Schizosaccharomyces pombe: one gene and its partner. The gene in region 1 interacts genetically with each later gene. Each region holds a gene or a part of one and is shown in the gene's direction. Other genes may lie near its edges.

What was found.
Region 2: of sar1 (region 1) and spo14, extra expression of one rescues a mutant of the other (dosage rescue), as found in Schizosaccharomyces pombe (one study listed by BioGRID).

The regions. Positions count from the first base shown.
Region 1 is NC_003423.3:3,759,849-3,763,633, reverse strand, and holds sar1 (ADP-ribosylation factor Sar1), read left to right. Parts: upstream 1-1,748; 5' UTR 1,749-1,804; coding exon 1,805-1,927; intron 1,928-1,976; coding exon 1,977-2,082; intron 2,083-2,339; coding exon 2,340-2,683; 3' UTR 2,684-3,017; downstream 3,018-3,785. Other genes in the region: protein lsb5, read right to left, coding at 1-464; protein mug37, read right to left, coding at 3,018-3,283, 3,354-3,741. UniProt on the Schizosaccharomyces pombe protein: Small GTPase component of the coat protein complex II (COPII) which promotes the formation of transport vesicles from the endoplasmic reticulum (ER).
Region 2 is NC_003423.3:1,889,213-1,893,747, reverse strand, and holds spo14 (GDP/GTP exchange factor Spo14), read left to right. Parts: upstream 1-1,904; 5' UTR 1,905-1,957; exon of another isoform or gene 1,958-1,994; 5' UTR 1,995-2,091; coding exon 2,092-2,205; intron 2,206-2,318; exon of another isoform or gene 2,319-2,352; coding exon 2,353-2,478; exon of another isoform or gene 2,479-2,524; coding exon 2,525-2,809; exon of another isoform or gene 2,810-2,865; coding exon 2,866-3,207; exon of another isoform or gene 3,208-3,263; coding exon 3,264-3,584; 3' UTR 3,585-3,776; downstream 3,777-4,535. Other genes in the region: transcription factor TFIIH complex cyclin Mcs2, read right to left, coding at 1-107, 160-233, 320-592.

The DNA.
Region 1 (3,785 bases):
GTGGGTTGTTCAGAATGCGAAGCAGATGATTGTCGTTGAGGAAGTCGAGATACTAAACTACTCATGCTTTCCATTCCACGAACATTAGAATAGTCATTGTGCCAAAGTTTGATCATATGGATAGCACGCTTACGAACGGGTTTAGAATATTCAGAATTTGTTGCACATTGCAACATTCGGTCTTCCAATTTTTCGTCTGAGAAATTTTGTAAAAAATGAGAGCCAGCATTTTCAATTAAAGCCTGGAGAATAACAAGTGCCCGAACTTGTTCATGAGGTGTACTGTACTTTAACTTCTTACGAAGGGTACGAGAAGCCTCTCGCGGACCAGTAACAGTTAAATTAACGGCTTCAGATAATTGAACGATACCAGACAAATCCTCATCGTCGGTATCTCTAGAGGTTAAACGATCGATATAAGTGGTGACAGCAGTAATTGGAACTGTTTCACTGAAAATTCCCATTATAAATAAGATGAAATAGTGATTTTAATTATTCACTGAGATAATGATAGCTTGAGTGTTTGATGGCTTGATGGAACAAATTAAAGTCTGAAAATATATAGCAGCAAGGAATAATTTTCAATCGATTGTAAACGGACCTTCCAATAAACGAAAGTAGTACCTTCTGGTTGTTCTTTCAAGTAAAATTTTATGAAGTTTTAAAGCTATCGAATAGAAAAGTTGTCTATATTTGCAAAAAGAAGAAGGATTTTGGTGTGTGTCGTATAGATAAAGAATATCATATTACACTACGTTCCAAAGTTGTGATACAAAAATAATTAACGAAATGAAGAATGAAAAAGATCATAAATTAACCCGAAAATTGATGCTTGAATTTTAGAGAAGATTATGCAATTTTTGTTAATTTATTTGCTAGCAAAATATCCTGTAGATATAGATTCTCAGCTGATATTTACTAATTCTGTATGCCGGAATAATATTAAGTAATAATTAAATGATAGTTATTAACAACTTATTATGAAAAAAACTAGCTTAAAAAAAAATTTTTTTGAATAAATGAGTATTATTGAATTTATATGTTTTAAATATAAAACACAAATTCCTGTATCACCCACCGTATACATAGAAACAAAAATATATGTATATATATTCGTATAATATATCTATAAACTACGAAAGGCCGATGTCACAATTTGTAAGATTTATAAAAAAAGAAATCCAGAAAACTTTTAGAAATTAAAGTTACTTCTAATCTCAAAAGCTAATATTAAAAACAGTTAGCCTACGTGAATTTTTTTTTTTTGTAATTCTAACCCAACTGTTGTAAGTGTGCATTGTTTTATTCATTCAATTCTTTTATACATTTATTTACCGTTTTTCTCAATTTGTCTATTGCGCCCTGTTATTAACTGAGCGTAGTGCAAATACATAACATGTTTATAGTTACAAATTTTAGAAATGGTAAATTACTAGTCGAATTTTATTTAAACGAAAAGCTGAAAGCTATCATCCTTTATTCTTTTCAAACCGAAAGAAATTGTATTGAGACGAATTCATTAATAGTTAATTTAAGCAAACGTAAACATGTAAATTAGAAATCGCCAAAATCGTTCTCTTCATACTTACTACTAGAAAAAAGCATAGAGAAGCTTCCAAATTTGAACTATATGTAATTATTCAGTTTCATTTCATACGTACATTAATTAAATATTTTCTTTAACTACTTATTTTCGGTTACCTAGAGAAAATTAGTATAACTAGGCATGAGGTAAGTCATCTCTTGCCAACCACCAACACACTGAGCATAACAGGTTTTCAGAAAATCCATCCATCTTACACCAATGTTTATCATTAACTGGTTCTACGATGCTCTTGCCATGCTTGGTCTTGTCAACAAGCATGCCAAGATGCTGTTTTTGGGTTTAGATAACGCCGGAAAGACCACCTTGCTACACATGCTGAAAGTATGTTTGACTTCTACTCTCCTTGATTATCCTTATACTAATTATTTAGAATGACCGTTTAGCTGTAATGCAACCAACTTTACATCCTACTTCAGAAGAACTGGCTATTGGCAACGTTCGATTTACTACTTTCGATTTGGGAGGTCATCAACAGGGTATGTAGTCACAGAGTTGTTTTTCTAAATCATGGAGATTTTGTAAGAGTTGGAATGTCTTTAGAATAATTAATTTTTTTTCGCTTAAAATTCTTTTTTGTATAAAGTTGTTTGAATTTCTATATCGTCTCATATGTCGTTGGCTAGTTTATCAGTGGGCCGTTTTGTTCTCATGATCTTTGTTTTTTCTTTGCAATTTCTTCTATGATTTTGGATTCTCTATCTGATTTTATGTATTTTTACTAATTTTCTTATAGCTCGCCGCTTGTGGAGAGATTATTTCCCCGAGGTTAATGGCATTGTTTACTTGGTTGACTGCTGTGACTTTGAACGCCTTTCTGAATCAAAGGCCGAACTAGATGCCTTATTGGCCATGGAAGAACTTGCTCGCGTCCCCTTTTTGATTCTTGGCAATAAAATCGATGCCCCTGGTGCTATTTCTGAAGATGAACTCAAGGCGGCCCTTGGACTTTATCAGACCACTGGTAAGGGCGTGTCTAAACCCGTTCCTGGAATCCGACCTATCGAAGTATTCATGTGCTCGGTGGTCCTTCGCCAAGGTTATGGCGAAGGCTTCAAGTGGCTTGCTCAATACGTCTAAGTTACCCCATTGCATCCTCTTAAAAACCTTTCACTTTGAATGACGCCCGTTCCAAATTTCCCTAATTGTTTGCTCAGCGCTTACATAGATTCGCCCAATTCAGATTTACAAACTTGATGACAAGTCTTTTTTGTTATATGATATTCGTGCGGTCAATTGTTTTCATCTACGGAGCATTTGTCTTTACTGACTTTGCAGTATGCTCCTATGCTGATAACGTATTGTGTATTATCCGTTAGCCCATTTTTTTCAGTTGTGATTCTAAAGCTTGATTATTGGTTCTTCAGAGATATTTACTTATCTTTTGTGAATATGATCATATATAGATGATAATCTATAAAGTTTCGTAGAGCACCATATTGTAAGTGTCCCATAATTCATCTAAATCCGAGCTAGCTATGTGTATCACTTTTAAAATCTTTTCGGCATGAGAGACGATTCCAACCACTCTGATCATAGTTGCCGGTTTAGTTAAAAGAGGCGATATTTCGCAACATGAGTAATATTTAGCAAATATCGCTGGTGATTTTTGTCCACGAAATGCGTCTTCAAAGTAGTAGAGGATGACATTGCCGACTTTTTTTGCAGAGCGCACTTTTGCTATAACGTTAGATTTCATTTTTATGCAATAAAACCAACATATATTGAGAGCAAACATAATAGACCTTACCAAAAAATTCAACTATAATGCATACATCTCTTCGTTTCATCCTGAATACTGCTAAGACTTCTCCTACACGAAAACATGTTCTCAAAACACTTTCCGAAGAAAGACCGTGTATTGCGGAGTTAAATTCTCCAACTTTTGGAAACTGTTTACGCGTAGGTACTGTTTCAGTTTTAGTTTTTTCGCCTTCGTTCTCATGAGAATTCAGGTCCAACTTGTCGTTTTCTAGAAATTGAATATCGCGTTTTTCCAAATTCTTTGTGTTTCTGTCAAGTCCATAAACATTTTGAACGTCAATTTTGGTTTTTTTTTGTTTCAGAGTAGTTTCAGATTTAATAAATTGAACAGTTTGACTAAATTCTTCTCCTATTCTATTGGCATGACGCTTCATTGTTTTATGCAAATGTATATCGAACAAATTGCAGAATTTAAGTT
Region 2 (4,535 bases), 1.9 Mb from region 1:
CGTATTCAAGAACTTCTTCGGGAGTCGTCTTGGGCATGTTTTTACAGAATTGTTCAATAGAGATATAATGATCGTTGCACTTGGTAGCTAAAAATAAAGAAGTAAACCTAATGTAAGAAAAACAATGTTAGCTTAATGGACTCGGCGACTTAAACATACGAAATAATTTTTGGACTATACTCCATGACAGAGTTAATTAGATAAAAGCGTTTAAAAAAAAGAATGGCCGTGGACTAAAATTTTGTGAGTAAAGTCGGAATGTTTATATTGAGTACAGTTTCCAAGTAATTGAAGGAAATCCGACCATGTCTAAACATACGCGAATATGAGTTGGTAAGGAAAGAGCGGAAGAAAGTGCGTTCAACTGGAAACTATAATAATTTACAAGTTCAAGTTCTTCTTCAACGGTAAGAGTTGGAGGCAAAACTTCTAAGGATGCTTCCTTGTTTTGTAAAGACAACTCTTCCAGCATTCGCTCACGTACAATATTCGTAAATTTTTCATTTACTTTAGCACGTGTTTTTGAAAGGTCTTCTTCCGTAAAAATCCAATCTCTGTAATGCGTGGAATCACGAAATTTATCGGCAGACATGTGAATAATGTAAGTAGAATTTACAGCACTCTATCAATTGAGGGTTATGCAAAAATTTAAATACTTCTCTATAAAGCCAGTAAAATAATAATATTTTTGAAATTTGGATACTTCTCTGCTATGAAAAACCCAAATCGCTCGTTCGCTGAGACTTTGTCGAGGACATCAGATACCCTGGATGTGGAGAAGAGAGTTTTTGCAATTAATGTGCGATGTGCAAAAAGAAAGCAGCACTATAAAGTTATATTAATTTAATGAAGAGTTTATTACATAAACTAAAATTTACTAATAAATAAAATATTGTTGAGTTGAAAAAAGTCTTGCATTCATGTTTCAATCAATTTGTATCAGCATAACATTTCACTGAAACGAAGCTGAAAAAAACAATAGTTATATAGGATTATGCTTTTTTATATTCCATTGAGGCATATCATTTAAAGCCAAAAAATTACCTGACAACGTTCAGTTACATATTTGAGTGAATTGCAAATGAACAAGAATTGGTAGTTAAATAAGGAAATGAAACAACATATTATTAATTAAATTTAATTGGAAGTCAATCTTTGAAATGAAACACGCTTTCTGTGCAAAAAACAGAAGTAATATTATAATCATACACAGGCAGCGGCGTATTAAGATTGTAGGCACCTTGGCACGAGATCGAGCATTCATACCCTTTAGTAGAATAAACACAAACATTAATTTCATGGACAATGTAGTCTCGCGGCAATTTCGTCTTAAAAATAATAATTGGAAATTATAAATAAATCCGAAAATTTCTCATCTCCTCACTCTTTCCCCAGTTCTCTTAATCTATTTTCGTAATATGATGAACATGTAGTAAATATTGCTATATAAACTATATAAACAATACAACGTAAACCTGGTAAAATGTACAGGAGACCGAGATATTAAATAGTGTCTGTAGCAAAGTTGCAACCAAACTGAGGTCGGAATTGAGTTCTAAAAAGCTGAAAAGGAAAATATAAATATAAAATGAGCCAGAATATGCTCCGAGATTTAGAAAGAATCTATTATAAGTTTCTGTTTGTTCAAAGATTCTTCGCAAATAAATATCCACAAGTAAGTATCATCCTTTTTTAAGTCAATAAGGATTTAGGTTATCTCTAATTAAATCTTTTCTCTACTGTCATAAAAAAATGGATAAAAACTTATGTATATATTAAACATCGCCTAAATACGTAAAAGAGGATAGTGATGTCGATATTATTCGATAGATTCTGATACGGGGATCTAATATTCTTACAGTATTTGCTTAAGTCTCGAAGTAGGTTCACAGCGATTTCGAAACATACCCACACCACCGTATTCAAATAGACATTGTTTTTTTTTAGTGGAATTCTTGTAAGTGTACTTTATTGATTTGCTCACTAATAAGTAGAATTTTTTTTTGATTCGTCGCCGATATCGATTTATTTTTTCAATACATTCCTATTCCTCGTATCCAGCTTAAAGTGTTTTCTAATTATTAGATCAAAATGGCTGAACTCCACCTTTCTTTTCCAGCTTATTCTCTTTGTTGGATTAATAACCATCAAATGGCGGTTGGTGGTGGAGGAGGAACTACAAAATCTGGTGTTAAAAACAAATTGGTATGTCAATTCGTGACTGTAAGTGAAGGATTACTTCATTATCTATCTATTTTACAGCATTATAAACTTTTTAGTATCCGGATTGTTAGCTAAAAAGATTATGTTTTACAATTGGACTATAGGCGCTAATTAGTTTGTCGAATTTAGAAGTTATTATCATATGAAGACTATGAACCTGAAGTTGGTGAAGGTCATACAAAATTTATAGAACATGGAGAAATCGAACTTAAGCATTCGGATGATGCCGTTATGTCGTTGGGTTATTTTAAAAATGTATGCAATATTTTTTTATTGCATAGCTAACGAAATTAAATTGTAGGAATTAATAGCCGGTATTAATAACACCATTGACGGAAAGTTAATTGACCATTTACGTTTATATGGAAGAAAGGATAAACTATTTGAGGAAAAGAACGCTCTCAGGTTAACCGATTTTGACAATGATGAACAATATCAAAGGTTATGTTTATTTGAGCCATTACACGATGCAATTTGTATATCTTGCACTAATAAAAGTTTTTTTATCATCTCCAAAAATGATCACAAAGTTTTGTTTGAAAAACATGGTTCAGATGTGTATGACGTTTCATCTACTGAAGACAAGGTAAGCCACAGCCTTTACTAAATTTTATTTATTAAATCCTTACCATTCTTTTGTAGCTTGCAATTGCAGTTGATGATCGCGTCGAAATTTATGATTGGAACACTTTTGAATTGGTGCAAGTACTTTACATGCCGGTAGAGCGAGCCACAGTACGAGGTGTTTCGTTTTTACCCAACCAATCCATAGTAGCTGCTTATAACTATATTAAAGATTCCAAAAGGTTTGCTTCATTGGTTCGATTTGATTACAGTTCAAAGAATCAACTTTGGAGATTTGGCATGATCCGAGATTTAAAAAATGCAAAGGGCGTCACCTGCTTTTGCTGTGATAAGGAGAATGGAATGATCATAGTTGCTGGAGCAGATTGCAGCATTCGTTTCATGTCTTTAGACTTAACGGTATGTGTTTACTTAAATATTTTTATTGCGATTTTGCCTTCTAATATGCATGCTAGAAATTGTCTCAAGTTTATAAGCATAGCCTTCCAGTAACTGATATGCAGTTATCCCCTGATTCTGAAGCACTAGTTAGTGTTTCTGCTGATGGCTTGCTTTGTCTTCAGTTTGTAGGAAAATTCAAAAATTTGAGCGCTGTCAAACTTGAGGATGCCGGAGTCATACTTCGATTGTCTCTTATGTTCCCTTTTGTTTTGGCGATCCTGTACTTTTACTTACAACTTCTTTTCCCAGATGAGAAGTTAGACGCAATTCATCGATTCTTTTCCTTTATTCTTCACATTTTTTCGAAATACACGATTAGAAACTATGACCTTTAAAAAAAGTAAAACCAGCTCACGTTTTATGGTTTCCTATAAAGATTTGGCTGGCACGTAACTAGCTTATTGTTTCCTGCAACTTTGCAGACTTTTAGAGTTCTTTTGTTTGGATAGAAGATTTATGTTTTGGGTGGTTTCATTTACCACAGTCATCAATGACGATATGAGGAAATAAAGAAATTCTACATAACTAATCATGAGTATGCCAATTTCGATCTGTACAATGACTATGCAACATTATAAAGTCTGTAGGGCATTTATGAAATTTTGCGTTGGACGACCTTAGAATACAAAATGTATGTGTCTTTTAAGTCATAAACATGTTTTAGGGCCAGCGGCAGTGACAGTAGTGAGGATTTTGAAGTCTTTTAAAACCAAGGAAATTGTATTCATAACGGTCAGTGATTAGCATATGAAATTCGTTAAGCCATTATGGTTATCAGATATCTGGGAGATCAAACAAGAACCAAAAAGTAAAGGCTTAGGCGAAATCAAAAATATACCTATTCAAAAATATTTTTTGTAATTGATTGAACAGATTGAGCGAAACGATTCACGATATTCGAGAAAAAGCGAAATTTGCAACGTTTGCCTTTGTGTGCTCTCAAGACTTTGAGAACATCACCTCAGATCAAAAGAGAACGGCTAGTAAGTAGAAATTAAAAGTAATCAAAGCACAATCCTCTATCTTTCAGGAAAAAGAAAATCCTCATCGATTGCAATCTCTTCTTTCGAGTATAGATTTCTATAACTCAGTACACTCAACTAGTTTGAAAACAGTGAGCCAGTGCGTAGTACGATAAAATTGAAAACCCTAAAGGAGAAGACAACATTACGCCAAGGGCAACGAAAGAAAAAAGAATTTCATAACTATGAATGAAAGAGCTCTTCGACTGCTTCTAATCAATCGTTTCACATATTTAATGACTTTTCGAGTACCGTTGATGACAC